Linked DNA regions of Rattus norvegicus. Each later gene encodes a partner of the first gene's protein in a complex. Links are inferred from orthologs where the notes say so. Each region holds a gene or a part of one and is shown on either strand. Other genes may lie near its edges.

The links.
Region 2: Exosc2 (region 1) and Exosc5 share a complex: the UniProt entries of both Homo sapiens proteins name them as parts of the RNA exosome core complex. The link is inferred for Rattus norvegicus from reciprocal best matches to the Homo sapiens genes EXOSC2 and EXOSC5.
Region 3: Exosc2 (region 1) and Exosc6 share a complex: the UniProt entries of both Homo sapiens proteins name them as parts of the RNA exosome core complex. The link is inferred for Rattus norvegicus from reciprocal best matches to the Homo sapiens genes EXOSC2 and EXOSC6.
Region 4: Exosc2 (region 1) and Exosc3 share a complex: the UniProt entries of both Homo sapiens proteins name them as parts of the RNA exosome core complex. The link is inferred for Rattus norvegicus from reciprocal best matches to the Homo sapiens genes EXOSC2 and EXOSC3.
Region 5: Exosc2 (region 1) and Exosc4 share a complex: the UniProt entries of both Homo sapiens proteins name them as parts of the RNA exosome core complex. The link is inferred for Rattus norvegicus from reciprocal best matches to the Homo sapiens genes EXOSC2 and EXOSC4.
Region 6: Exosc2 (region 1) and Exosc8 share a complex: the UniProt entries of both Homo sapiens proteins name them as parts of the RNA exosome core complex. The link is inferred for Rattus norvegicus from reciprocal best matches to the Homo sapiens genes EXOSC2 and EXOSC8.

What each region holds. Positions count from the first base shown.
Region 1 is NC_086021.1:35,358,806-35,363,805, forward strand, and holds the start of Exosc2 (exosome complex component RRP4), read left to right. Parts: upstream 1-1,860; 5' UTR 1,861-1,880; coding exon 1,881-2,002; intron 2,003-3,235; coding exon 3,236-3,337; exon of another isoform or gene 3,338-3,349; intron 3,350-5,000. UniProt on the Homo sapiens protein: Non-catalytic component of the RNA exosome complex which has 3'->5' exoribonuclease activity and participates in a multitude of cellular RNA processing and degradation events.
Region 2 is NC_086019.1:90,294,066-90,298,999, reverse strand, and holds the start of Exosc5 (exosome complex component RRP46), read right to left. Parts: upstream 3,092-4,934; 5' UTR 3,009-3,091; coding exon 2,861-3,008; intron 1-2,860. Other genes in the region: Bckdha (2-oxoisovalerate dehydrogenase subunit alpha, mitochondrial), read left to right, coding at 3,504-3,611. UniProt on the Homo sapiens protein: Non-catalytic component of the RNA exosome complex which has 3'->5' exoribonuclease activity and participates in a multitude of cellular RNA processing and degradation events.
Region 3 is NC_086037.1:55,929,932-55,934,091, reverse strand, and holds Exosc6 (exosome complex component MTR3), read right to left. Parts: upstream 2,570-4,160; 5' UTR 2,538-2,569; coding exon 1,719-2,537; 3' UTR 1,155-1,718; downstream 1-1,154. Other genes in the region: Hnrnpcl1 (heterogeneous nuclear ribonucleoprotein C-like 1), read left to right, coding at 1-12; Aars1 (alanine--tRNA ligase, cytoplasmic), read right to left, coding at 3,956-4,141. UniProt on the Homo sapiens protein: Non-catalytic component of the RNA exosome complex which has 3'->5' exoribonuclease activity and participates in a multitude of cellular RNA processing and degradation events.
Region 4 is NC_086023.1:64,371,308-64,376,557, forward strand, and holds the start of Exosc3 (exosome complex component RRP40), read right to left. Parts: upstream 3,405-5,250; 5' UTR 3,382-3,404; coding exon 3,037-3,381; intron 2,462-3,036; coding exon 2,312-2,461; intron 545-2,311; coding exon 393-544; intron 1-392. UniProt on the Homo sapiens protein: Non-catalytic component of the RNA exosome complex which has 3'->5' exoribonuclease activity and participates in a multitude of cellular RNA processing and degradation events.
Region 5 is NC_086025.1:109,926,398-109,931,658, reverse strand, and holds Exosc4 (exosome complex component RRP41), read right to left. Parts: upstream 3,169-5,261; 5' UTR 3,131-3,168; coding exon 2,960-3,130; intron 1,423-2,959; coding exon 1,216-1,422; intron 1,116-1,215; coding exon 756-1,115; 3' UTR 426-755; downstream 1-425. UniProt on the Homo sapiens protein: Non-catalytic component of the RNA exosome complex which has 3'->5' exoribonuclease activity and participates in a multitude of cellular RNA processing and degradation events.
Region 6 is NC_086020.1:141,079,716-141,084,750, forward strand, and holds the end of Exosc8 (exosome complex component RRP43), read right to left. Parts: intron 4,451-5,035; coding exon 4,345-4,450; intron 4,255-4,344; coding exon 4,209-4,254; intron 3,425-4,208; coding exon 3,328-3,424; intron 3,239-3,327; coding exon of another isoform or gene 3,207-3,238; exon of another isoform or gene 2,042-3,206; coding exon 1,921-2,041; intron 1,458-1,920; coding exon 1,351-1,457; intron 1,071-1,350; coding exon 955-1,070; 3' UTR 853-954; downstream 1-852. Other genes in the region: Supt20h (transcription factor SPT20 homolog), read left to right, coding at 508-645. UniProt on the Homo sapiens protein: Non-catalytic component of the RNA exosome complex which has 3'->5' exoribonuclease activity and participates in a multitude of cellular RNA processing and degradation events.

The DNA.
Region 1 (5,000 bases):
CTCCACTACCGAACAGCACCCACTCAGGTGTAATTGAATATAAGCAAAGATCTTTGTACCCTGTGTGCACGTGGCTTCCTTGGTATAGAAATGTGAACCCGTTTCTAGTTGCAGTGTGGCTCAACCCTTAGCTCACACCTTTAATCCCAAACAATGAAGGTAAAGTTACTTTGTAAGAAGGAAGCATGTTTGAAAGTGATGTCTAATTGAGTGGCAGAAAAAGTGACAAAACAGAGGAAGATTTGACAGAGTAGGATATGCCCCACTCTCATGAGGAGAGGCTACTTAATAGGGAAGGATGGGGTTTTATTTCTAGAGTTTTGCAGAGACATATTTAAGAGAGAACGAGTAAGACACACATAAAGACGAAATGAACCATAGAATGAGAAGGAGCCAGAGGATTAGAAAAGATTGCTGGAGTTAGTTTGAGGCCAAGCAGAGGAATTTAGAGGCCGAGAGAAAAGACAGATCTTATAAGTCAGCTGGGAAAGGTGTTTGAGCCAAAACAGCTGAGTTGAACCAGCCAGCCAGAGATCTGAAAGAATTGGGAAGGGGTGAGTTTATTCAGCAGTAATTCAGAGAGAGAGAGGCTGAAAACAGTCTAGACCTAGATAAGATCGTACAGAGGCTAGAAACTTCCAGAACTAGACCTAGGATAGCAGACAAAGGCAACAACTGCAACAGGAGAATAAAAGTTACATTTGTATCTCACTACGGATTTGCTCGTCACCTGTGGCTGGCTTTTACAACAGTCGTCTTTCAGAAGAGGTCTTTACTAAAGCACACTAAAGCCATAGGAGCACTAGGTGAGGATCCAGACCAGCACCTAAGGGTCAACTCCACTGTAGAATACAAGGCCCCCTAGGAACAGTATTCACTATCTTCTGCTCAGATAGTGGTTTAGAGTTGGATGGCAAACTCAAGGTTCACTTCTCAATCTCTAGACTTGACCAACAATAAATAAAATGATGAAATTGGATAGTTTGGGTAAAAACTCATACAACTGAGCATGGCGGTTTACGCCTGTAATCCCAGCTCTTGGGAGATAGAGGAAGAGGAGTTCAAGGGCATCCTGGGTTACACAGCCAGTTTGAGACCAACCTGGATGACATGAGACACTATCTTTAAAAAATTTTACACGGGGCTGGGGATTTAGCTCAGTGGTAGAGCGCTTGCCTAGCAAGCACAAGGCCCTGGGTTCGGTCCCCAGCTCCGAAAAAAAAGAAAAAAGAAAAAAAAAACTTAAAAAAAAAAAAATTTTACACCTGGGCTGGGTTCAGAGGTGGAGAGCACTGGCTGCATTTCCAGAGGACTTGGTTTCGATTCCCAGCACCCACATGGCGGATCACAAACATCTGTAATTCCAGTTCCAGGTGCTCCAACAACCTCTTTTGGCCTCTGTGGGCATCAGACACTGGAGTGTACGGAGACAAACGCAGGAAAAACGCTTATACACATAAAACAACAAACCAATCAGATGCGAAAAGCACCATTCGCACCACCACCAAAACCACAACCTACTCAAACTCATGTAATCGGAGCGTTTGGGAGGTGGAGGCATGAATCTCTGGAGTTCAGCAGGGTTATTCTCAACTGTACAGTTTGTGTCCAGCCATACACGGGACCTTTTCTCAAATACAAACGCCAAACCAAACCAATTCCCTTACAAGTCATATTCCCTTACAACGTCTTTCCGCGGGTGCTTTCTTGCCAATAGTAAACATGGCAGCTTGGTACCCTCTTTTCTTCGAGTTAACTTAATAGTTGCCAATAGTCAACATGGCCGCCACACTATACATTCCATTGGTCGCTTCTCTGAAGGTGGGCGGGAATTGAGGCGACTGTGTGGAGCTGCGCCTGCGCAAGTCATTGGCGCCAAGATGGCGTTGGAGATGAGGCTCCCTAGGGCTCGCAAACCTCTCAGTGAGAGCTTGGGCCGCGATTCTAAAAAACATTTGGTAGTGCCAGGGGACACGATCACCACGGATACAGGCTTCATGCGGTACGTGAGGATTTGGGGGTCCCAAGGCCTCAGGAGACGGCTGCAGAGCTCTCTGCACGTGGCCCGCTGCCCGGGAACCCAGGCCTCCTGTCCCCTTGTATCTAAGTCACCGAATACCTGGGACACCTCAGAGCATCCTCCTTTCCGAGCCTCATGCTTCTGACTTCCTGCATCTTGGGTGCTCCTCTGTCAGTTCCTGATTTCTCCTTTAATCTATGGTGTCAGGAACTTTTGAACCCTTATCCTGAAACTCAAGATTTTTGAGCTTTCCTGGGGAGGGCTGGGAGCAGGACCCTTCTTACAACCCTCTGAAGAGACAGTGGGTTGCTGGCTTGGTCGTTTCTTTCAGTGTTACCTCAGCGACGAGCCTGACTTTGAAGCAGTGATTTTCGTGGGGTGGGGGTTGAGGTAAGCATTCAGTACATACTGTGCATAGATGCACCCAATAATACAAACTTAGCAGGCTATCGGAACTTGTGGTACTTTGGGCCTGCTCTGGAGTCGTGCTCTCCTTAGCTGTAGCACCTAGCTAAGGCCGGTACCCTCACCTGGAAGACGGTGGTGACAACAGGAATTGGTAGAATCGGGAGTATTAAGCAACTGAAAAGTGGGGGCAGGAAGCAAAATTTCAGCAGTGGCCTGAAAAAACCTGGTTGTTTTTTCTTTCTGGTACAAATGAGATTATGGTGTTTATAGCATTGCCTCTAGACTTTATGTTTAAAGTATTAGATGACAGGTATCTTAGGATTCATTTCTTCATACTTGCAGCATAAGTTCAACATAGTCCCTGTGGTTGGGGTACCAAAGGCGGGGTTTATCATCTAGCAAGGAACAATAACAGTAAATGCCACAAGAACGTCGTAAATGCAGACGAAGGGGGAGAAGAGGGGTGTAGTTGGCAATGGGGTGGACCAGTGGGGATCCCTGTGTTGCCTGGGATGTGCAGTTCTGTTGTTGGAAAGTGACATTCGAGCACACTTTTTTTTTTTTTTTTCTTTGTTCTTTTTTTTCGGAGCTGGGGACCGAACCCAGGGCCTTGCGCTTCCTAGGTAAGCGCTCTACCACTGAGCTAAATCCCCAGCCCCTCGAGCACACTTTTTAAGATGGGGATGTCCACATGGCTCTGTGGAGGCAGGGGGAGCCTGTTAGGTTCAAGAACCATGTTCTAGATGCTCCCATGTTACCTCCAGTGTAACACTGCTATCCTTTCTTTGTGGTCTTGTCCTTGCACAGGGGCCATGGAACATACATGGGGGAGGAAAAGCTCATTGCGTCAGTGGCCGGCTCTGTGGAGAGAGTGAACAAGCTGATCTGTGTCAAAGCCTTGAAAACCAGGTGAGGACAGAGGTGTGTATGTCATTCTCGGAGCATCTGGGTTGTACACAGGCCTTCTCCGTCGTCTCCCCATGTCATCTAGGATCATTCCTGTCACACGCCTGCTAGGTTGAATGTGCCTGTTTGTCACAGTTAGTGCCGGCAGCCAACTTGACACAAAGCTGGAGTTACCTTGGGAGCGGAAACCTAAAGCTAAGAATTGTCTCCATCAGATTAGCTTGTGGGCATGTCTGTGGGAGCATTTTCTTCATTGGTAATTGATATAGGCAGTGTCACCCCTGGACCAGTGGGCCTGGGGTGTGGAAGGATGGGCACTGTGCTGCAGGCCTTTTATCCTAGTACTTGTGAGGCAGAGGCAGGCAGCTCTCTGTGAGTTCCAGGGCAGCTCTGTGTGTGTGTGTGGGGGGGGGGGGAGAACAAAAACCTGAGTCTGGGAAGCAAACCAGCCAGTAGTGTTCCTCCACAGACTCTGCCTCAGTTCTGGCCTCCAGGTTCCTGCCTGGCACTCCTCCGTGATGGAGTGTAATCTGTAGGCCTAATAAACCCTTTCCTTCTCGAGTTGCTTTTGGTTGTGGTATTTATCACAGCAACAGAAAGCAAACTAGGACACTACAGAAGGTGTGAGCTTCAAAGGTTTCCTCACGTCACTTGATCCCTCCATGCGTTGGGCTTTCCTTTTCCACATCATAAAGAAAGTAACCAACTCAGGATTGTTCATTCGGAATTCAGTGACCTGCTACAGTAAAGTACTTACACACAGGGCCCAGGACCTAGAAGAAGCCCATAAAGGTGCGTCCAGAAGGGAAGCAATGAGCCTGGGACTGATTAGTCAGGCAAGCCGGAGCTGTGGCAGCCAAGTGGTCACCCTGCCTGGCAATGACAGTGAGGACTTGGGCTTCGTACTGTACCAATTGGGAAGCCCTTGGAAGGGATCAAGCAGAAGAGAGCAAGAGAGCTGTGATCTGACCTACGTCTTCATCACTTGCTGTGGTTGCCATGGAGACAGTGAAGGGGGACAGGGCATGTTTAGGGAGCTGGGCTGGGGAACTGTATTCATCTGAGAAATGACCGAGTGATGGCAGGCATGGCCCTCAGCAGTGGCTATGTCCTCTGTATGCCTTGCTTTCAGAGTGTCCTTTGAAAGGCTGTTGCAGTAACTGATGTGTTTAAGGAAAGCTAACAGAAGGAATAGAGATATTTTTAGTTCCCCGTTTCCAGTCTGGATGTCTTTGTTTCCCTCACACATTTGGAGGTGCCTTCAGCAGGGTCTGTGCTGTGCTTATCCCAGAGTGTGACAGGCATCAAGGTTTCTGCCTAAGCATGGGTGGGGTGAACACTTACTGAGCTGGGGATTATGGGAGAGAGCAGTTTGCTGTGGGGAAGGGAAAGCAGCTGCTGGCAGAGTTCACCCCGAATTTGATTTTTTTTTTTTTTTTTTTTTTTGGTTCTTTTTTTCGGAGCTGGGGACCGAACCCAGGGCCTTGCGCTTCCTAGGTAAGCGCTCTACCACTGAGCTAAATCCCCAGCCCCCGAATTTGATATTTTTACAAGTGTTCATGAGCCTTTTGTGTGGCTAATCTGTATCGGATAGCTTGGTGACTCCACCTCCCAAGCGCTGGGATTATGGGTAATTCCCCACCATGCCTACCTCTCACCATTAAAA
Region 2 (4,934 bases), on another chromosome or scaffold:
AGTTGAGGGCTCAGGGATGTCACTCTGTGGTGGGGCATTCATGCTAAATCCAAAGCAGAAAATAGGATGACAAACCTACACGGGCAGCTTCCGGGGCTCTGTAGGTTTCCACTGGACTTTTTTTTCTTCCTTCCTTCCCCCGCCCCTTAAAAGATTTATTTATTTTATTTATATGAGTACACTGTGGCTGTCTCCAGACACACCAGAAGAGGGCATCGGATCCCATTACAGGTGGTTGGTTGCTGGGATTTGAACTGAGGACCTCTGGAGGAGCAGTCAGTGCTCTTAACCACTGGGCCATCTCTCCAGCCCTCCATTGGACTTTCTGCAGTCAGGTTCTGTGTGGTCAAGGCTGGCCTCGCCCATGCTGTGCAGCTGAGTGACCCTGGCACGAGCTGCTCCTCCTGCCTTTATTTATCTCCCTGCTGCTAGGATTAGGGGTTCAGTACCATCGGTTTTGTTTTTGTTGGGTTTTTTTCTTTTTATCAATTTTGCTTGTAAGGTAAGACACTGTGCTGGCTAGTTACTTCCTTTGCTTTGCATTTGGTAAACTCAGCACGAGTTAGCCATACCTGGAAAGAGGAAACTCAACTGAGGCAACTGAGGGACTGCCTCCATCAGAAGGGTCTGTAGGCAAGTCTGCAGGGGAATTCACACACTCCCGGACCCAAGGCATTTCACTGATTAACAACTGATATGGAAGGGTCCCACTCGCTGTGGGCGGCGCTGCTGTTGGGCAGGTGGTCCTGGGTTATAAATGAAAACAGGCTGAGCAAGCCATGAAAGGCAAGGGCTCCTCCATGGTTCAGTTCCTGCTTCAATGGACTTGGGGTATGTAGGCCAAACAAACCTTTTCCTCCACAGGTTGCTTCTGGTCATGGTCCTTATTAGAGCAAGAGGAGCCTAATGAGGTCAGCTATGAAGTAATAGGGTTAGTGTGTCATTTATCACATATACCCATCATTTGCACTGCTCACTGATGCCACGCCCCCTCCCATAGGGTGTTCTTGCAGGAGCCTTTGAGGTCAGATGTGTCTGCAACATTTTTTTAAAAAGATTTATTTATTTATTATATATAAGTACACTGTCGCTGTCTTCAGACACACCAGAAGAGGACATCAAATCCCATTACAGATGGTTGTGAGCCACCATGTGGTTGCTGGGAATTGAACTCAGGACCTCTGGAAGAGCAGTCAGTGCTCTTAACCACTGAGCCATCTCTCCAGCCCCATCTGCAACATTCTTTTTGAAAGTCTGCAAGGTCTCCAATTTGCACCAGGGCCCCGTGGTTTAGAGTTTTAGAACATGGAAGGGTTCCCATTCTATTTCTTATATCTCGAGAGACAGGAGACGCTGAGTTTAGCAAGTGAGCAAAACCAGGAGCCAGCCTGGGATGAGAACACTATTACATCTGCGGGTGCTTTTCCAAGGAAACCCAATGGGACAGGGTCTTAGCGCCAACATCTGCCCTGAAACCAGAAGTGACCCAACTAGACTCAGGTGCTTACTAGAGCTACACAGTAGCTGTTCCTGTTCTGCTGTATAAACTGTGCTCTCGGCAAGCAAAATAGTCTCTTCTTTCCCACCATCTCTACAACGGGGCTACAGAAATTCTCCCCTTTTCAGTCCCTAGGATTTATTTTATTTTTAATTATGTGCATGCATGCTTGTGCAAGCCCCCCCTCTCTTTCTCTGTGTGTGTGTGTGTGTGTGTGTGTGTGTGTGTGTGTGTGTGTGTGTCCCTGCATGCAGAGGCTTCTAATCCCCTAGCTCCTGAGTTACAAGTGCTTGACAGCCTCCTGAATAGATGTTGGGAACTGAACTTTGTCCTCTTCAAGAGCCACAAGTGTTCTTAACCACCAAACCATCTCTCCAGTTCCCGGTTGTCTCCCTTTTTTTTTCTCCCCAAGACAGGGTTTCCTGGAACTCCTCTCCACAAACCAGGCTGGCCTCGAACTCATAGAGACCCTGCCTCTGTTTCCCAAGTGTTGTGACTAAAGGTGTTATTTCTTTTCTTAAGCTCCTGTCAGTCTTCAACTCTTGTCCCATCTACCAGATCCCTTCCCAGGAAAATGCCTGAACAGTTGTCTTAACTGTCCTTTCTTGCTCTCTCTGACCCACCACTACCCCACACTAACTTACTAGCCATAAAGTGATCAGCTCTTAATATCTCAAACACAACTCCCCATTGTCAACTCCATCTTTGTCCTCTTCATTTGTCTACTCTGGTAGTTTTTTACCCTCCCATGACCTCTCAAAGTTGGTTGGCTGGACTGGGATACAGGGTTATGTGGGCCTCAGCCTCGAGATCTCTCTTTTCTTTCTATTCATTTACCCTGATGAGACGTGTATACCAAGGAAAGGCATGTTTTCTCAAATGATGGGACCAGAGAAGGGGAGCTACTTGTTAGCCCAGGATGGGAGGATCACGTTCAATTTTCAGAGCATTTACTTAGGTATATCACCTGCCACAGTAATTATATTTAAACCAGTAGTGGTGATGTGTCTGTCTCAAAGGGTATTTATGCAAATAAACACCTTAGCCTCAACCGATGATGTATGGATCCAGAAGTGTTTTTTAAGAAATCTAGTCAAGGATAATATTTGCCTTGGTGAAACACCTATTCTGGAATATTCACTCTTAGGAGAGGGGTCTTGCCCTGGATTTCTTCCAAGAGGTATTGACCAGCCTGGCCAAATCATTTCTTCTCGAGTCGGGAGGTGGGTATACGCAATATCTAGAAATAAATTCTCCAAGGAGGTGGGCGTACTTGGTTGCACACTACACAGTAACCGCTCTTCAAAAACCCTTCTTCGGTGAGGATGGCGCGCGCTGAGTTAAACCTTGTTAAAGTCGTACCTTGCAGAAAAGAAGCAGATCCATCCGGCCGGGACAGCAGGTTTTGCTCACAAGCAAAGTGCCGGAGGCTGCAGACTGGACTTCGAGGGCTGGACTCTGTTCCGGTGTCAGTGAGTACCTTGGCGTCTGCACGCTTTGCTCCCTCCATAGCCGCTGACCACGCGCGCTGGGGCTCCTACCGTAGCTTCCGCTCAGCCGCACGCGCAGTTCTACCGGCCGTGTACCTACCGCGCAAGCGCCAATCTAGGGCACTCCCGAAGTGGCCCTAGCACGTGGCTCGGCGTTTACTAACAATCTGGTCCTGCCCACCTCCACCTCCCAATTCTGGCAAAGCCATTGGAGAATAGGGAATAAGGGGCAGGACTTGGACTAGGCCCATTTTGCCCAAGGCCCCGGGCCCTGAACCCTGGAGGTTCAAGTGAGGTTGTCCTTTTTATTGCCTGATATTGGAACAACTCCAAGCAGACGACTGGAGCAATTTTAAAGAATAAAAATGGTCAACTTACTTATTTCTACGTCTTTGTTGCTAGGCGGTTGGAAGAAAATAGTGCGTTGGCCTAGTGGTGCTGAGATTTGAATAAGGCATCTGATGGGACAGACGCATGTCTATCTCCTGAGAAAGGAGGAGTGGTTACTAGCCAAGATGGCGGTAGCGATGTCCGCGGCCAAGATCTGGAGGCCGAGCCGTGGCCTGCGCCAGGCTGCCCTCTTGCTGTTGGGGCGACCTGGGGCTCGGGGCTTGGCTAGATTCGTGAGTACCTGGCCCCCACAGTGTCTTTCTTGGGGAGAAATAGAGACGTAACTGTTATTGTTACAGTGTGCGTGGGGCACCGCGGGCTGTGAAGGAAGAGCAGATTCAGAAAGAAAAGGACCGGGAAACTTTTTGAAGAGAAATTCAAGGGAAGGCTCCCTTTAGAGCAAAAGCAAGGCAGCTACTTGCGGGCTTCGATGGAAGGAGACGAGTAAGGGATGAGACGGGGGTTGAAAGGACAGATCAGGTTTTCATAGGGTTCTACATTACTTAAATTCCAATTGTAAAGGGAGTCGAGCAAGAAACTCGTTTGTTTCCTATGTCCCCTGACCAAAATTCAAGGCGAGGGACTTTTCCATGACTGTCATTTACAGAAGATGATCATGAAGGGAGACAGAGCGAGAAGTTCAAACAGGACCCTTTGCCCACGTTATTTTTTTTTTTGAGACAGGATCTCACCCACTCATCTGGGATGGCCTTTAGCTCACCCAGATGCTTAGATAGGTATCCGAACTGGAGATAGTCCTGTCCCAGTCTCCCAAGTCCTGATATTACAGATGTGCGCTACGGTGCTTGGCTGCCCACTTTTCTTGAAAACACTCGAGAAAACTCGGAATCTCTTTTGATCTATTGTTGATAAGGGCAGGATAACACTTCCAAATGCTGTTGCGATCTGGCGATGTACCACAGTGCAGAATGCTTGCCTCACACTTGCCACGTCCAGAATTTGGCTCCTAGCCCCGCGCTTTTTGTTTATCTGGATATGGCGACATGTGTCTGTAATTTCAGCGCTTGGGAGGTGGAAGGCAAGGAATTTGAGGCCAGTTTGAGCTGCATGAGACCCTCTCTCAAAAAAAAAAAAAAACCCGAAAAGATTTTTAAAAATGCTTTCCTTATTTTTTATTTCATGTGCATTGTTGTTTGGTCTGAATGAAGGTGTTGGATCCCATAGAACTTGAGTTAAATACAGACAGTTTTGGGCTGCCATATGGGTGCTGGAAATTAAACCCAGTTCCTCTAGAAGAATAACCAGTGCTCTTAGTCATCACTGAGCCATCTCCCCAGTCCCCTCAAAAAGATTTTTTAAAAAAGTCTAAGGCCTGGTGTGGTGATGTGTGCTTCTGATTCCAGGCAGAGGCAGGCAGATTTCTGAGCTCCAGGCCAGCCAGAGCTTCATCGTGAGACTGTCTTTTTTTTTCCATTAATTTATTTTTTCACTCCACACTCTGAATATCGGCACCCCCTCTCCTCCCAGCTACCCCCACAGCTCCTCTCGTTCCCTTCCACCACTTCTCCTTCGAAAAGTGGGGAGCTCCTCTCACC
Region 3 (4,160 bases), on another chromosome or scaffold:
AATAGCCAGTAGGAGGTGGGGAACCTTCCAGACTTTCTTCACTGGTACTCTTGGGTGGCTTGTTTTCTTGCCTTGTATTTTTGGAAGGCCCCCTAGTCACTCCCATGCGACTTGAAGTCACCTTTCTGGAGCTTGGGTATTGAAAGTCTGAAGCACGGTACAGCCAGCCCACCCAGAAAACCTCCCCCTCCCGGTAGTCGTGGGTTTAACTCTCTTTTTCCATGAGTCTTGCTGTGGGCAGGGTAGGGAAGCCACACAGACCAGCAGTGCCTATTTTCATTCAACTGTGGTGGTCTTGCAGGAGGCACACGACAGGGCCCTGAGCCCAAAAGGCACTATTAGCTCTCATGGAATGAAAACTGTCTCTTCCCCACACAACACTAAACCTGATGGTGTGCGCCCACCTAAGCAACCTCTTTTGGTTAAACCCACCATGTGCTCTATGAAGCCATAAGCTATCCTTCAGAATAAAGGAGCATTTATGTCTCTATCTTGAGTCTCACTAGTAAGTATAACACTAATTTTGGATTTGTTCTACAGTCATGTCAGAAGGGGGAAAAAATAAAATATGTATTTCTTCTTCTTGGTCAGGAGTTCTTACTTTGTCCTCATAAACTGAGCAGACCCCTGGAATACTTAATAAGTCTCACAGCTTCCTCCACTTCAGCCTGTGAAGAACAGGATAAGTCCCTATACTGGTCAGTCAGGCCTGCTCTGCCTTAATAGCCAGGCTGTAAATGATACCACAGTATTAGGCGGTCTGCATTTTAGTAGACCATTGCTGCCCAGACCCTTGTTCCCAGGAGCCAAGCCTGGACAGGCACCAGGATGGGACCCGGCTTCTTTCCAGAGCATAATCCTTTTCAGTTACCTAACTCCTAGACATGGTTTTGTCCTAAAGGAAAGGACAGGGGTGCATCCAGGCTTCTCCTTTGAACTCTCCCCAGACTTTTCCAGACGGGAGTTTCTCTGTGTAGCTCTGGCTGTCCTGAAATCTGCTCAGTCTTATCCCCTCGGCAGCTGCCCTAGACAATGCTCCCGGGGCAGCTGGTTTCTCCTCCAAAGCACATAACCCTTTCTTTCTTACAGCGGGCTAACAGGAATACTTAAGGCAGTAATGACTTGGACCCTTGACAACACACAATCAACACACACCCATTTCTGAACAGCATTGTTTTTAACTCAAGAAAAATCACAACACATGTTATTTCCAGGCATAAAAATGTTTTTATGTTTTACTTCGAGTAGTGAGAAGGCAAAGTCCCCTTGTCCATCCTCTCAAAAGAAAAGAATTGGGGTTGGGGATTTAGCTCAGTGGTAGAGTGCTTGCCTAGCAAGCGCAAGGCCCTGGGTTCGGTCCCCAACTCAGAAAAAAAAAAAAAAAAAAAAAAAAGAATTATATTGGAGCTGCCGGCTGGCCTGCACAGGGTCCATCCCTTACAAGGCCATAGCCCCAGGTCTCATTTACTAAGTAAATCCAGCCCAAGTCCTTTCCAACTTAGGAATATGGCTGCTTTCAAATTTCTCCAACTGGATCGTGTTTCCAACGGCCTTTTAAACTTCTTTCCAACGCAGCTGTGCAGAGCTTTGGTTCTGTGCGCACCACTCCCCCACTCTCCTGTCTCAGCTCAGCGAAATCGGGCAACCATCAGCGCTGGTCCTTTTGGGAGAAAAGGGCGATAGCAGTCCTCCGCATCCTCGTCGCTCAAGTTTTCCAATCAGGGCGGGGCGGCGGCACCCCTCCGGCGGGCAGCCCTCACCAAGCACTGCTGCAACACCGGGTAGAGGCGCTGGCAGCCTTCCAGGCCCAGGCGCACCGCATCGGTCCAACTCTCAGTCTGGCCGCCTTCCCCACTGCCCAATAACCCGGCCACCTGATTGAGCACGGGCATGAGCGCCACCGTGAGGCCGGCCTCAGAATGCTCCTCCTCCAGTCGCGTGGGGTCCAGCAGCCAAGTCGGGGAGGGCCCCGGTGTGAGGCTCAAGCCGCAGCCCACTACCAGATCGTACATCTCCACTCCCGCGTCGGCCAGGGCGAGCGCAGCAGCGGTGAGGGCCGCGGCCAGCGCAGAGCCGCCGTCCTCCAGCAGCAGCGCGGACACCTCGAGTTGAGCACGAGGGTAGCGTCCTAAGCGCACAGCGGGCTCCAGAGCCTCCTGCAGAGCCAGACCCAGCTCACGATCCTCGCTGCTGCCCTGGGGCGCGCGACGCCGGCGACCGGAGAAGGGCGCGCGACGGAAATCGCAGAGCAAGCGACCCCGGAGAGCAGCCGGAGCTTCACCGCCCGCTCCGGCGGGACCGCCGCCGCGCTCACCGCCCTCGGCCTGCCGCGGACCGGACACGGCGCACAGCACCTTGGTACCTCCCGCTTCCAGGTAGGCTGAGCCCTTAGCCTGGCTCAGCAGCCCTGCGCGGGCGTACACCGGTCGTAGGCGCGTCGGGTCGCGAGCAGCGGGCGTCTCGTCTTCTTCGGCCGCGTACAGCTGCGGCGGCTGGGACTCCTCTGGCCCTCGGATGCGGCGGTGGTCTCCCGGCATGGCGGCTACCGGCGTACGAGCTACTTCCGCCTGCCAGGATGCCTTGCGCACCGGCTCTTCCGCTCGCTTAAAGATACGCGCCCGCGCGGAGCCTATCGGGAGAGCGGTAGGTTTCCGCATTGCCACCTAGCGGAATGGAGGAAGAACGGCGAGGTATTGGCTGGACCTGTGGTTCCATAGGACCTGATCTACTGTCATTCCTTGAATTTTGCATTCAGATTGTTTTATATAAGCTTGCCCTAGGTAAGAACTTTTTGTTCGGGCTGAAGAGATGGCTCAGCGGTTAAGAGCACTGACTGCTCTTCCAGAGGTCCTGAGTTCAATTCAGCAACCACATGGTGGCTCACAACCATCTGTAATGAGATCTGATGCCCTCTTCTGTGTGTCTGAGTACAGGATACTCATGTACATGAAATAAATAAATTAATTAAAAAAAAAAAAGAACTTTTTGTTCATTCCTGTAGTTAGTCCCCTGGCTTGCTTCAACACTTGTTTAATAAATGGACGTTATCTCTCTTCCTACAACTGAATAATAATTCTAACACTCTGAGATCTGTCATAAGCAAGCAGTATCTCAGCTTCCAGACCCTGCTGTTTGTAGATTCATATAAATTGCATTTTAGGGCCGAGCCAGGGTCTTGAACCTATTTCAGGTTAAAGAAGCAGGGATGGGGCAGTTACTAGAAGACATCTCTACATTCATACCTCCTACATTAGTTGTCTGACCTCATATCAGCAGCTTCAAGGGGAGGCACGTTGAACACACATGATGAAAGCCATTATGAGGTTGTCCCAAGAGACTAAGAATGGTGCTTCTTCATGTGAAGCAATTCAGAAGAATTTTCCTCCACCCCTTTTACTGAATGCCTCAATTTCAGCCCACCCATTCTGCCTCTAGCTCTGCTCTCCCAGGGGCCGTTCCTCAAGTTCAGGAGTCTGAGGCTGTACTCTGTGATAACATCAATCAGAAACCAGCCAGAACCACACACAGCCTGTATTCTGCATGTATAGGGAGCTGAGGTCAACCTCAGGAGAAAGGAGAGCGTGGTATCATCTAGTATTGCACATGGTCCTTTATTTTCTGCAGTGGAAGGCTTCCTTCCCACTTGCAGACCTAGAAGCCTCAGGTTGGCAGAGTGACCTCATCTAGACGTGATCAGGATGTTAGGTAGCATTCCTGGGTAGTGACTTTAGACAGATGGCGCTGACATTATGGCTCAGAGCAGAATGGAAAGGGGCAATGAATCACAGGACAGCTCCAGGCGCGTTCCAGTTACTGCTGGATCAGGACGGAGGGCTGCTGAAAGGTCCCAAGACTCAAATGTCTTCGTGGCAGGAGGAGAGCTCCTGGCTAGACTCCTGCACCTGAACATGACTGGTTGTCGGGGAGATGCTTTCCTGAGAGGGCTTCCCTCCCATCAGTTCTTTACATCTCCGAGACGGAGCTGGGCAAAGGAAGTAGCCAGCTGCAGTGCTTCCTGAAGGCAGCCCACGTTCTTGCCTGTGGCCTGGGCAGACATGTCCTTCCCACCACCTTTACCATCCATCAGGCCTGAAACCTGCTGGACCCACTCGCTGGCTTTTAGCCCCCGGTTGGCTGCATTCTAGAAGACAGAAAGGGAA
Region 4 (5,250 bases), on another chromosome or scaffold:
ATCCTAAAGATTTATTGTTTTTCAACGAGGTATAGTTACTGGGGGAGCCCCTCCCCTTAACTGGGGAACTACAGACAGTTGTTGGCTTCTGGGGAAGGGAGCCGGTTTTCTTCTGGGGCTTAGCTGATGGTAGGCGGGTCACACTTTAGTAATAGGCCCCATATTCACAAATGTACGTGCAGCACAGATTAGACACAGTGGCTTATTTGTTTTTAAAAAGGGTACACAAACTTAGAGGACAGGAGAGGGGAGAGAGGTGGGGAAGGACTCTGGGAGGAGTTACAGGGAAGAATGGGGGAGGAAGTATGACCAACAAAATACCATTATGGAATTCTCAAAGAGTAAACGGATCCTTAAAGAAGGTGGGGCATTTAATACGCATCATAACTTACTTTCTAATTAAGCCCAAGGTCACTTTGAAGAGCAGCCCATCCTGTCCAATCACACCCATCCCATTGGCGCGTCCGCAGCTGTCAATACAGACCATTTCTGGTTCCATGTCTTTATTAGCAACCACACACTGGCCATAGATGAGATCTCCAACCTGTAAGATTAAAAGAAAAGTTCAGTTCCCTTTACCCAGACATCCTACAGATGCTGCTGCTGCTGCTGCTGGTTCTCTTCCATGGGCAGGAATGCCAGTGACCCAGTTCTCAAGCTAAGGGACTAATGATCCTTAGAATTCAGTCCTCCCTTCACACCCCATGAAATCCTCCAACCAGAAGCCATTTCAAGGCCTAAGGACAGCCTTCAAAACTGAACTGTTCAACTTGCATGTAGCTTACCTTAATTTCATATTTAACTTTATATCTACTTAACTTACATAAAATTCAGTTCTTCAGCTCATCAGCAGCCACATGTAACTAGTGGTAACTGCATCAGTCAGAGCAGATATAAAAACAAAAACAGCATCACTGGAGAATGTTCTATCAGTACTAACAATTATGTTTGTCTAGAGGAAGGAAAAACTCATGACACCCATATTCAATGGAATGTGAAAATGGGATAGCAGTAATTCAGACACTACTTCATGGAAAATTGGCTTTAAAATATTACAAAACTGAACTTTAAAATGAAGCTAAGGAAACAATAAATCTGTTCTCGTCATTCAACATTAAAAATCCTCCCTGTTGAGCTGGAGCGATGGCTCATGGGTTAGGAGTGCTTACTGCTCTTGCCGAGGACCCAGCTTTGGTTTCTAGCATCCTCATAGCAGCTCGAAACTGTTTATAACTCAGGTTTCGGGGACCTGACCTTCCTGTCTGACCTCCACAAGAAGCTGTCACACACTGGGCAGAAACATACATGTGGACAAAACACTTCCCTATGCATACTCTAAAAGTATTTTTTAAGTCCCCACTGTTGTGGGTGATTACAAAACCTGGCGGGACATAACCCCTTTCTGCCTTCCTGGAGCATGTGCTCTTGCACAGGGCAGTGAGAATGAATAAACTGAGGAACCAGATCAAGAATAAACCCAGGGCTGTGGTAAATATACAGGAAAAGAGATGATGACCTTATAGGCAGTCCCACTCAGCCTGGACCTCAAGGGTGGTGTCTCATAGGCTGAGGATACAGCTCCAAACAGAGGGACCCCATTAACAAAGACCAAGGGAAGGAAGGGAACCCAGTGACACTGTGAAGCTTAATATAGTTACGTGGAGCAACAAGCTGTGAGGGGAGACCCCAGGTGCACCATGCCAGTGGATTCCTTATAACTTAAACAATCCTTTTCTTAATAAGATTTTTTTAATAAGTCAACAAGACTGCTGCCCACTCCTGTCAAAAGGGAGCAGACACCTGACCCTGTGGAGACAAAGGGATTGACAGGCAAAGATAAAGAGAAGAACAGATAAGACTGAGCGACTAAAGACCCTCGAGAGCTGACAAAAAGCAGGAGAGAGCTCATCTCATTTGTAGCTCAGGTATTCAGAAGGATATGGCTAAACTACCCAGAAAGCCCAACCTGTCGAAACAAGACAACTCTTCTGTCAGCTCCAAGGATTTACAGCGACCATGAACAGATAACAATAGTGCCGGTGGCCCTTACATTAGGGCCATTGTCCTGGGTGGATTCGGACATGACAGGTAAGGAAGACACAGATGTAACTTGCCAACCAGGTAGAGAAGAACCAAGACTGCTAACGTGATACACAGCAATGGTTCTGGAGCTGCAGCAACCGAGAATCTAATAAACGACCTTGGAGAACTGGAGGGATAGTTGATGCTTTAAAGACAATTCAGGTAGCCCTCTGGATAGTTAAATTTCTAGGGAGTGGACATTTTTTCTTATTGTTGAAACCATCATTACCTGTACATTTGGTCTGTTTCTTTTAGTTGCCCCTTCAAATGCCAGGTAGGACAAAGAAGCTGGCTCACTCCCTCCAACATCAACTTTGAATATATCGCCAGACTTAGCGACTACTATGCCAATCACGTGGTCTCCTTTCACTGGTACATACTACAAAACAGAATAAAAGAACAATCATAAATGATACAAATACTACTATAAAATATCTTCGGCAACTTTCATCGAGGTTACCAAGGGTTGGTCTCAACCAACCCTGCCAACTACTTACTCCCCGGGTAGCTGGAACTACAAAACCGGCCCGCACCAGTAAAACTTTACACCGTCTAAATCAACAGTTGATTTGAATCAAGTTTCAAGATTTTTCGGCATCCTTTATAAGTCTGGTGGCACAAGAATCTTTACATTCAAGGAAACTCATTCCATTAGTCATTATTCCTAAGAGAAAGCTCTTATTCTATGGGAAATTTAACTCCCTGTGATTTGGACTCATTGCAACTGGGACACCAAATGGCTTTGGGTTTTTCACAAGAACTCGCGGAACCTTTCTCTCCTTTCGCCCTTCTCAGGATATGTTCCTATTGTGGTTCCTCTAAAGAAGATGCAGAGAGAGAGAGAGAGAGAGAGAGATCTAGAAGCCACCGCCGCTCTAGACTCGCCTTAACCTATGATCGCACTTGCAGGGATCCCACTTTGGGGGCAGCACCGCCTCTCAGACATCCGCTTACCCGCTTCTGCTGCGAGTCCACCCAATAAACGCCGCCGCCGCCGCCGCCGCCGCCGCCGCCGCCGCCGCCGCCGCTGGGCTCCTTGTGACGCAGGCGGCCACACTTAGTGACCAGCAGACGGTCCCCGCAGCGTCGCAAACCCGGGCCGCATACTATGCGCAGCCTCGGGCGCGCTCCCGCATTCAGGCGTAACGGCTGCTCCCCGGGGCCCCCAAGGCCGTCTGCGTCCTCGTGGTCCGGCAGCACCAGCTCCTCCCCAGGGAGAACCACCTGATTTAGCACCTTGTGCACTGCCCGTGCTCGGCAGCCCGCCACAGACTCAGCCCCAGCGGACACTTCAGCCATGGCAGGCATCACCATTGCAACTTCCGGTAGTCTACTTCCGCTTCCGCTTCCGCTTCCGCATCCACTACCCGTCCACCTGGGTTATCCCTTTTCGGTGGTTGTGAGATTTTTCTGAATTAGACTTTAGCTTTGGAGCTAGTCGCTTCAGCTCATGGGTACTCCTCCTCCGAGTGACTGTGTGTGTAGTTAGCGACCCACCCATCTTGTAATCTCCCCGGGTAGAGTCCATCTGTGAGCCCTCACTTCCGAGTCTCATCTTTCGACTTAACAATCAAGGGACGCTGGAATTGAGTGCCACTGGGAACTGAATAGTGGCTAGTTTGGAGGCCTTACCTTTCTACTCTGCCTACAGAAAGGTGGCTCAGCTGTTTGTATGTTTGTTTGTTTGTTTGTTTGTTTGTTTGTTTGTTAAGATTTATTTTATGTGAGTACACACACATTAGAAGAGGGCATCGCCTGATCCTGTTACAGATGGTTATGAGCCACCATGTGGTTGCTGGGAATTGAACTCAGGACCAGAGGAGTCAGTGCTCTTAACTGCTGAGCCATCTCTCCAGCCCGATAGCTCAGCTTTTAACCAGAAAAAAAAATTTTTTTTCAAAATATAACTTGTTTGGTTGTTGCTACCAATTTACATTGTGTAAAATACAAAGAACAATAGTTACAGTGCCTATCTGTCGCCCTTGCTGTGCTGTTAGCTATACTTCAGATCATTTGTAGCTCAAGGTACCTACTACTTGTAACAATTTTTAGGTGTATTTCTCCCACCTTCTCCAACACACATCACACTTTTTCACCAGTATAAGTTCATCCCTACATGGCTTGGGAATATCGGTAACTCAGATCAATTCTTGCAGCTAGTTAGTTCTTTGGGAGCACACTAACGGCTATGTGAGAAACTGTTAAATCCCAAACCCACAATGCAAGAATTTAAGAACTTCCAGTTTTCTGGCTTTGGGGTTCTTATCTGTGAAACCAGCTTTTTTCTGTAGGCATCTTCAATGAGTGTTTGATTGTTCTCCAGCAGCACTGAGGGCCTTGACATTGACTGACGTCAGATTGCTCTGCTGTCAACTAAGTTTCTAAATTTTTAGGGAAGGGGCATCAAACTTCCTCCAAATCTGGCAAGTTGCTGGCAAACCATTTAATCCCTGGATATAGTAAGGACAACTGACATACAGGCAGACAGGAGAGGGGCCATGGCTAGGTAATAAGTATTGAGTTTTCAAGATGGCTAACTTCTTCCCCAACCTCCTAACTTGATACAAGCTTGGCAGCTTCAAAGAAAGGCTGCGTGGGGTTTGGAGAGGGTAGGAGGGTTCATGCTTACAGATAGTACTAGGGAAACCAGAATTGTTAACCACACAGATCTTTTTCTTCAATAGAAGAAAGTGACACCTGTTCACTTGGAAGGCTAGGGTGGAGGTTGTTGAATAACAGGTAATTTTACTGTTCTGCGAGCCAACTCTCATCTGAATCCCCCTTTTCCTGAGCATTCTCAGTCCACAGAATCAATCCATCCTTATAGGAGAGATATCATGTACTGTTGTAAAAGAGTTTGCTCTTATGATGATTAAAAACCTTTCCTCCCTAGGCTCTTATCTTGAGCGTTTTCTCAGTTGGTAGGACCCACTCTTGTGGAAGAGGTCACAGGTGCTTTTCAAAAACCTTGTACTTTGCAAGGGAGTTTTGATGTAGCCATGTCTTAAGCTTTGTGGTGACAGTTGTTACAAAGAAACATTTTTTTGAAAGTTTTACTGTTTAAATGTGAAAAAAAAAAACAAATAAAAATAAACTGCTCAAATCAGACTCCAGAAGTTTGAACAAGCCCAGCTAAATCATAGAGAACCCAGTTTCCTTCTTACATTC
Region 5 (5,261 bases), on another chromosome or scaffold:
GAGAACCATTGCATTAGTCTAACCTTACATCTCTTGATGAGCACACATAGCCACCTCAGCCTTGCACTCATGTCTCTGAAGAGTTGTGTAAGCAAGGCACATTCCTTAGTCTGAGGGCATGAGTGAGGAACACAAGTGATGGGAGAAAGCGGACTCCATTTTGAGCCTGCTTGTCCCTTGTTTGAACTGCGATTAATAGAAATATCATAAACAATCCAGGAAGAAACTGCCCTGGGCTAGAGCCAATCAGAGAAATAGAGGGAAAGTGTCTAAAATTCCAAAGGTTACAGATAAATTGCTCATCATTGACCAATCCTTGTGCACCAAGATACCCCTTGCCAAATAAGGCAACTGACAGGCTGGAGACCCCCTCCCTGCTCAACCCTTGCTAAGTAAGGCAATCGCTATGCTGGAGACCCCCGTTCCCTGCTCAAACTAGTATAAAAACCTTGCCTAAATGAGGTTCAAGGTCTCAGCACAAATCTGATGCTTGGAGGATTCTGAGGGTCCAAGCTTAAGTGTGAATAAAGGCTTTGCTTTTGCATACAAATCCAGACCCCTGGTGGTCTTTGTGGACCCTGATATCTGGGCAGGCACAGCATGAGCACTCTTGCTCTTCCTAGCACAAGTGTTCTCTCCACTTAGGGACTGCAGTACAAACTGCTATGTAGGGCCCTGAGCTGCTTTGAAGTGCTGTACATTACAGTGTGTTCAGGAGAGGAACAGGCCTTTATTCTGGATATGGGGGGTTGGCCTCAGTCCCCCAGTAAGATAGAGGCCTCCTGCACATGCTGCCGGACAACACGATCCAGCAGAGTGTGCACATCCCGGGCTGCCTGGGCAGCAGCCTCGAGCACCTGCTCCAAGTGGTCTTCATGCAACCTCGAATCCATCTCAAGCAGTGCAATCTGGCCAGAGGCTGGCAGCAGGGCCAGGGCTAGCTGGGGCCCGCCAGCTGCTTCCTCCACGTGACTGAGGTCCGCTAGTGCTGTGCCATCCACAAAACCAGCCGAACATGCACACACAAAGTCCCGCATGGGTATCCCAGCATCCATCACTGCTAGCGTGGCTGCATTCACACATGCTGCATAGGTCCCACCGTCTGCTTGTAGCACCTGCAGGGGGCATCAGGACATCAGACATCTCATCCTCCAGCATCTCAGGCAGACCTCATCCCCTTAAGCCCCGCCCCCGGGGGAGTGGTTTGAGGCTCACCTGCACATAAATGTCTATCTGAGAACGTGGGTGCAGCTGTGTGAGGATAGCTGCCTCGAAGGTCTGGCGTAGCTGCAGCCCCATCTCACAAGACTTCCGGTCTCCATGAGGCCTTCGCTTGCGCTCACCTGTGCTGAAGGTTGCTGAACTGTACTGACAGTTCACTAGAGCCCGGTCAGGCAGAGCCCGTGACCGGGAGCCCCGGATCTGGAGGAAAAAAGAAGGAATGAGCCAGGGCCGCCTACCTCCTGGGTCACACTCGATGGCTCAGCCTTCCTCCTCTTCTTTCTAAAGTGCTTCAGAAAGCAGCAGCTACTTTGGTTCCAAACCATGGCAGGCGGTTTAGGGCTACACTTCGGTCTAAGCCGCACCACTGTCACCTTCCGCAAAAAAAACCCCTTTGTTCTTTAGTTGCTCCATTTCTTCCTAAATCATTCCCATCGTGGTCACCATGTTTACAAACATGTGATTTGACTGTGTCACCCACACACTAATATTTTACTTACCTTCCAGAAGCTTCTCATTACATGTAAAAGAAAATCTCAATTTCCCCGACCTTCAAAGCCCTGGGTCCTCATCTCCTTGGTTAACCACTCAACTTTATTTGATCTACTGTCCCTCGGTCTACCAGTAGTCTGGCCTAATGTGTTCTAGACCTGACCTGGCTTCCACCTAGAAAGCTGAGCAAATTGCTAGCAAACCTTAAAATGTGGGCTCATTGGTTAAGAGCACTGACTGCTCTTCCAGAGGTCCTGAGTTCAAATCCCAGCGACCACATGGTGGCTCACAACCATCTGTAATGGGATCTGATGCCATTCTGGTGTGTCTAAAAGACAGTGACAGTGTACTTATATATAATAAACAAATAACAAACAAACAAAAAAACCCTTAAAATGTGCATGTTTGCCGGCCTTGCTACACCACTGAGACAAAGCAGCAAAGGCAGGCAATTTATAATGTCTCTGTCTTGGGAGTTTACATTCCAGTAGAGAGACAAGAGACATGGAAGACTGAGGAAAATCGATGTAGCAGGGGCAGAAATAGCCTGGGAGGCCTTTTCCGGACAAGATGTCAAAACACTGGACTGAAAGAACAGGGACTGAGTGTAGCTTTGCCAGGATGTATGAGGCACCTCAGAGATGAAGAGGGCAGCCCAGGAGAAAAGAGGCCCACTGAGACGGAGGAGTTAAGCAGTAAGACTCATGTCCACTCCCACGATGTGCAGCCATGAGCCCCCAGTCCCTGCATGAGACAATCATAGTAGTTGTGGACAATCTGAAGCAGCCCCATATCCCACCCGTGGGATTAAAACAAAAACATAATCACATAACATAACTGGGTTCTTAAAGAAACCAATATTCTCAGTTCATCATGGGACCTAATACTTATACAAATTTGAGGGCCATGTTAGGGATGCAATTCCCCGAGAGGACTCAGAACTCGGGGTATAATTATATTCATGGCTTAGTGGATGTAACACAAAGGAAGGATTGAAATGGAAGTTAACCAAGGGAAAGAGCTCGTGAGGTGAAATCAGAAGAAGCCAGGTCCTCGCAGATGCACGCACATCATTTCCCCTACAACACGGTGGGACAACGTGTGTTGAGATGCTTTCTGCCAGGGAGGACCCCAGAAATTCAAAGATGGGATTTTAGTATACTGCTGCATAGGTAGAGGAGTTAAGCTGTAAGGTCTACTTCCTCGTCGTGCGGCCACGAGCCCCCAATCCCTGCCGCTTACTCGCCTCGTGAGGCCCGTAGACCACCGCCAGTGCCTTGGTGTTGCCCTGCTCGATATAAGCCGAGCCATCGGCCTGCGCAAACACGCCCATCCGCGCCTGAATCTTGCGCAGCTCCCCCGCGCGGCGACCGTCTATCCGGTAACCCTGATCGGACAGGAGCTCCAGCCCGGCCATGTTGCGCAGTCCTCGCTCCGCCTCCGAGAGCACGACCCCTTAGATGACCTGGGCTTCCGCGACTACGACTTCCGCCGGTCCGTTTCCTTTTCAGTCTCGGAGAGCTATAACTTCCGGTAAACTAGTCCCTTTCCGGTGCAAGGCTCGTAGCTTCCCCGGCCTGCTGAATGTACGAGTCACGTCGTTCGGTTCCGGGAAATCAAAGGCCCGAGCCGAGCTGGTTTTTGCAGCTTCTCCTCGGTTGTTGAAGTAGGTACGCCTTGAAGACAAACTTCTCTTTCCGGACGTCCTCGGTTTGTCGGAGGCGCTGGTCCCAGCGGAGACTATTTTTTTTTGGCCCTTTAAAAAACTGTATATCTATTTTTATTGTACGAATGTATTGAACAAGCATACCTGCTTGTATGTCTTTTCGTCACGTGTGTGCTCAGTGCTGCGGAGGTTAGAAGGGGGCAGCCACTGTGAGTGCTGGAATCTGGTCCTTCTCTTTTTTTCGTCTTTCGTCCGTGTGGTTTTTACAGTGGTCAGTTTAGCCAAGCACAATTTTTTGTTCCACATACACGTGATTATTATCTTTGTGGCTCAGTATTAGTTTAGTTTTTCTTTTTTCTTTTTCATTTGCTTGGTTAAATCCATAAGTTTCCCTCCCTTACCTTGGCCAGTAAGTTTTCTCTATAGCCTGGATGCAAGCACAAAGCGCCTGCGGTTGTCTATATGCACCTGTATAGTAGGTTTTGGAGTTCTGATTATTTTTAAAGATTCGGTCACTTAGTATACATTTGGGAGTGTTTTCACTCAGAATATGAAATACATAGTCCTGAGATTTTGTTGTGTTTGTTGGTGATGGGCCCTTTTTTGCTGTTGTTTGGTTTGCTTGTTTTTGGAGACAGGGTTTCTTTTTGTAGCCTTTGTTGTCCTGGAACTCCTTCTGTAAACCATGCTGGCCTTGAGATCACAGATCTGCCTATCTCTGCCCAGAGTGCTGGGATCTGAGGCATGTGCGATATCACCTGGTTGCTGTTGCTTTTTGAAAATCTTGATATGTATTTCAGGTTGGCCTCAAACTAGCAATCTTCCTACCAGAGCCTCCCTAGTGCTCTTATAATGATTATAGGTGGGACCGTGACACCTAGCTTGGAGGTATATTTTTATTGTTTGCTTCATACCTGTGGGGTAGATAGAGCAGATTATAGTCCCACTGAGTCCTCTTTAACAACCCTGTGTATTGTAGGAGCAGATAATTAAGGAATGCTATTCATTGTGGAGGGCTTGTGAGTCTTGATTCTGAGTATGTTGTCTTATTTTCTCACCCAGAATAAATAATTTTGTGGTGGTTTGTTTGTGGTGTTTTTTTTTTTTTGTTTTTTTGTTTTTTTTGTTCTTTTTTTCGGAGCTGGGGACTGAACCCAGGGCCTTGCGCTTCCTAGGCAAGCGCTCTACCACTGAGCTAAATCCCCAACCCTTGTGGTGTGTTTTAAAATAAGATCTTACTATGCAGCCTCAGTGTAGCGGGTCTTAGCTACTTTGTGGGTTCTTTTCCCAGTCGTTTATCCCTCCCGGTTTTACCTCCTGTCACTAGATAGGAGAGGAAGGGACAGGAAGGAGGAGGGTGTGGGAGATCTTTGAATCTAGTTTCTTCCTTTCAGTTTCTTCTTTGAGTACAACTACCAACAAGCAGCAGCCACCCCCGTCGATTGGAGCTTTCGCATTTTTATACTCTCTGAAAAGTTCCCAGAATTCCAAAGTCACACAATCACAGAAACTATCTGCAGCTGGCAAAACCACGCCTCCGCAGAGCACCAGGCAAATCACAGTCAGCTGCTGTGGACAGTCTGAAGCAGCCCCACATCCCACACCTGGGGTTAAAAAGAAAACAAACGCTTATATTTCTGTGTTTTTAAACCAACATTTCAGAATTCTCATTACACCCCAGCTGGCGTAGAACTCTCAGAGATTCTCCTGCGTCTGGGTGCTTAGTATTCCACTGACAGTTTAAAAAAAAAAGTTAGCTATTCGTGCTAGTGGTTGCAGGTGGAGGTCTGAAGGCACCTTGTCAGTCCTTTCACACCATCTTTATGTGGGTCCTGGAACTTAGGTTGCCAGGCTTGGCGGCTAGTGCCTTTACCAGCTTGAT
Region 6 (5,035 bases), on another chromosome or scaffold:
GTTAAATGCCAGTCAACTTGGAGCACTAAGTGTATTTTATAACAATTATATTTTAAATCCTTTCTTAAGGTCTTGGTGGCACATTCCACACACATCCTTTTAATGTGCATTGTATTTTGAGAGTTTTAAGTGCCAATTAACTTTATAATTCTGTACTGTGGAAGTATTACTGTTAGTAAATGTCATACATGTTTAGAAAAATATTCCTACTATTTTAGGAAAGGATGTCTGCATACTGTGATCAACTGAGTGTTGGCTTTATTTTGCTATGAATTACTGTAACAAAATGGTAATTGAAGTTGCTGCATTACTGCAGTGTGGACTGCCAGGGCTACGTAACGGATAATGTAATCTCTAAGCCCTTAGCAGGCTCCTGCTCTGCCCTGGTTTGGGCAGGCAGTCCCCTTGGTTACCCTGCCTTCTCCTTCTCTGGCTGTTCTCATTTCTCCTGGGGAAACAACTCCACCCATGCACCTAGCGTAACGTGATCTTTCCCTCCCTTTGCAGCAGTTGCGATTCTTGCAGCATCAAATGGCTATGGCAGCAGCCGCCGCACAAACAGCCCAGCTCCATCGTCACCGGCAGGCAGGCAGCCAGTCAAAGAGTAAAGTGAAGAGAGGCATGCCAACCACTCCAAAATTCTGAGCAATTGTTTTCTCTTTTTTATAAAACAAGACCACTGAATGAAAAGAATTGTATTTCTACTTCATTTCCCCCAAGATGTCAGTATTTTACATTGATATATGTGCACACTTTATATAGAAGCAAAACCCTGTGATTCTTACATGGAAACATGGTTCAATGTTTTCCTGTACATACCAATTACAGAAATAACGTAAGAAGTACTAGACATATCTTTCAAAGAATGTAATTAGGTATTTATTTAGTATAAAAGGCCTGTGCACAGTGTAACAAATACAATTTTTACAGCTGTTTTACAATCGTGGCGTCTGTTCATTTGTGTTTCATGCTCTGAATTACTTCATCCAGTAGTTTGCTCACTTCTTTGTGTCTCGTTACTGCTCGACTCATGCAGTCCTGAAGTTTAGCTCCAGTCAGCCCACTCCCACCTGAAAAGTCAGCCAATGTTCGGTGTTTTATGAAAATTGAAAATCATGGCAAATGGGGTATTTTTGTTTTTAAATCAAACCATCTAAATTGCTGTGGACTCAAGAATGTGGGTTAGTTTTATTAGGAAGACCTACAGAGGACAGACGTCCTAATTTTAAGAACGATACACAACACTTAAAACAGCAGAGAAGTCCATAAACTTTATTTAGCTAAACAGTCAAACACCCCGCACTGCACTCAGTACCGGACAGTGTTTTAAACGCAGTGGAAAGCACATACCTGGCTTGTGAAGACAGCACAGCTTGCCTTCCTCGTCCATTACTACGGTTAAGGTTCCTGTGGACAGGTGCTCCTCCTCCCCGGTAGGATCGACTATCAGCAAAGTGCTACATTAAAAAAGTGTGGTGCGGGGAGTAGGCATCAGTTCTAGCAACTGACTAATTTCAAACAGTACCAAAAGGCATGCCTGCTCTGGCCTGGGTCTGGAAGAGCTAATTTAGGACTGGAGGAAGCCAGAGCAGAAGCAGCGCCCAGCAGTCCTATACTTGTAAATACCTTTCTCTTCAATTTGGGAATAAAATAGCTTAAGTTCCTCAGCAAATGCTGGAGCCCTAAAGATTCCCCCTCACCACCTGGAAAAAGGCATAAGGAAACCTAGGGGCAAGTAAGGTGAGCGAGCACAAGTTTTCCTATACATCAGGATGTCTATGCGTGGAAGGTCTGACCAAAGGAACTGCAGGGCACGGCTCAAATCGCAATTTAGGGCCTGGGGACAGCTTGTTCTCGTGAAGACAGCTAAATACCAAGGCCTTAACTTAGAACCCAGAACGTTACATTGGATTAACTTACTCATCAAACACAGCAAATGAAGTAGCAACTGGGTTTGCTCTAACATTCAAATAACTTTTCTTCTTTAAATTGACTTCCGCTAAAGCAGTTTCTTCATTTATAGTAACTTCAGGCAACTGTACTGGAGAAAGGTAAGAACACATGTAAAGTGGGTCTGATGTACAGCTTCGTTTCTATGCTTTCTTAACTTTCCCTCAGTGTAGCTTAGCCATAACAACTACTGACTGCTTTGACAGGATCTCACTGTGTAGTCCATCTGGCTTCCAGATTCACTCTGGGATAAGAGTTGTGTGCTACTCCCCTAGATTCAGGAGTTTTGTTACGTATGTCATAACAATTGAGGTGAATATGAAGAGGAAAACCGCTTTACAGAGTATCTTATGATCCAGCCAAGCCGACTTTTGCCTTGTTTTATTTTCCCTGAGACGGGTCTTCTCTGTGTCCTCCTGGGCTCCTGGGCTGTCCTGGAACTCTGGAACTCATGCTATAAACCAAACTGCCTCAAAGAACCTGCCTCTGCTTCCTGAGTGCTGGGATTGAAGGTGTGTAGTCTTGAAGTGTCTCCTATTTCATAACACTCATTTGCTCACCCACACTCTTGAAGCAGTAAGAGCTGCTCTTTGGCACTGTTACAGAGGAAGCAAGCAGACTGGATGGATACACATATCACTAGTAACTATCTTCCACTCTGAATTAGCTGGACCCTGTTCTGTAGTCTAACTGGCCTCAAAGCTGCCATCTTCCTCTCGTCCCATGTAGTGATTACGAGCATGCACAGCCATGCCTGGCTTAGTTTTATCATCAAGTCAACAATGTAGAATGAGCAGAATGCTCACAAGTGAAATGCTAAGTCATATCAAGTGGCCTGGGCCTTACCAGGAAGCACCACTATCAGAGGCGATATCTGTGGCCAGTCTGCATGAACCACCTGGATTACAGTCAAAGTACTATCGAGTTAGTGGATTCTGGGAAGGACTCCTGCCCCAGTGACTACTGGGGCAGAGAGTCAATCTAGGAGGCTATAGATCTAAAAGAATATAAAACCCAGAAGTACATTTTTAGAAAACCCTGTAGAGCTGACTAACTTGGGAAAATAACCTGGGCAAGGCAGTTCATGCTTAGCCTCCCAAATGCTGGTAATATTGTTGAGACAGAAGGATCAAAAGTTCAAGGGCGCCCTGGGCTATGGCATACTCTGTCTCACAATTCAAATATCGTGAATGATACAAGACGTCCATAAAAACCTTTAAATTCTACCATGTTGGACCACACAGCCACTTCCGAGTTCACTCCAGCTCCCAGACAGGATGGCACACACCTGTAACCCCAGCATTTGGGAGGGGAAGAGTAGGTAAGGACCAGCTGGACTCTATTTGTAGGAAAATAGTCTTTATTAAGGTTGCTTACCATTCTTTAAAGCTGCTAACAAAGCAAATGTGCAGGCATCCAAAATGTTCCCATCGTAGTCTAGGCAAATAAGGTCACAGTATAGAACCCAAGCAAGCTAAAATAATTGACACAGAAGAAATTAGACCTGATAACACCATAGTGCTTTTTCCTCAATTAATTGAAGAATTACAGAACCATTGGTTAGAGAAAACTAGTCTTGAAAGTCTAAGATCTCTTTTTTTCCTTAAACCTTTAAGTAGGAAGTCAAAGTGGTCAGGTCAGGTTAGGAAAGCTGGGCTGTGACTAGCAAATCTACAAGAGACAGACCTGACTACACCCCTGAATAGAGCCAGAGGTGCAAAGAGGAAGTTTTATTCTTGCTGCTATGTTAACTATAATATCTGCTCCCTACTGTGTAACAAAGATTTTATAGTAATAGCCCTATAAATCTGCAAGGGAAACCAATGTAGGAACATACTATGTGCTATCCATAAATATCAGCGTAAGCAAAACCTGATCTGCTGTAAAGGATAAAAGCATTTTTTTTTTTTTTTAACTAGCAACAGAGGGGTGGGGGCGGGAGAGGGAGAGAAAGAAAACTTAGCTCCCCAGACATGCTATCTGATAACTGGACAGGATGGCACACACCTGTAATCCCAGCATTTGGGAGGCTGGGAAGGAGGAGGTAAAAGACCAGCTGGGTACACAGTGTGACTATCTCATTAAACTAAATAAAACCCAGCTGGAAAAGATTTATGACACAATTGTTAATTTAGACCAATACAGAGTAAAATGAACTTCTACAGAATTCCTTCTAAACTCTAAAATCTCAGGGTTTAAGGTTGATTAATTCCCACAACCACATTAGACCACACAGCCACTTGAGAATCTGTTCTTACCTTCCCTGGAGAAATGCATAAGTCCTCTTTCTTAATTATCTGTGAGCTTGATTTAATGATAAAGAACACAATAAATGTGAAGGCAAAACACACATGATAACGAACGGTGGTTAAACTTTTATCCTAACAGTCTTACTTCTCAATGACATCTGCAATGAACTGGCTGGTTACTTGAGCCTCTTCTCCAGGAGGTCCAGTCCGAAACCTCGATGAACACAGCGGTGGTAGGTCCACATTAGGGACTGAAAGAGACACTGCAGCTGTGAACTCAACTTTACCCACAGCTGGGGCAACTGGTAAAGGAACTGCTTCACAGTACAGGGGATTAGCCACGGGTAGACTCTTCAGGTGTTAAACATGGCAGTGTTAGAATTAGTCTTCTCAGATTGCCAAGCTCAGAGGAAAATATTACACTTAATGTTTTGCACAGTGCTTAAAAACAACCACAGGCTTCATAGTTTCTTGAGTTTCTTCCCTCAGATACCTCAGTCTGTAGTAGGAAAGTCCTCTGCTCACATCCAACTATTAAAGATTTAAATGTTGCTTCCCACTTTATGGAAAAGATAATCCAAGACCAAAAATATTGTCCAGTACTTTAAATAGAGTGCAGGCAGGATTTTAATCTGCAATGATGCTTCCTTGAATTAGGGCAACCGAGTATGTAAATAAAAACTGTCCACACAGGGTTGGAAGTGAAGTTCATGTGATGTCCCCTCTGCTATCTTCTCATAAGCACAAAGCTTTGTGGGTGAGGGGTGGGGGCGTTCTATTTCTGAGCACTGGGAACTGCTATCTATTTCATCACAAGTTAGCTTTCAACTTACTCG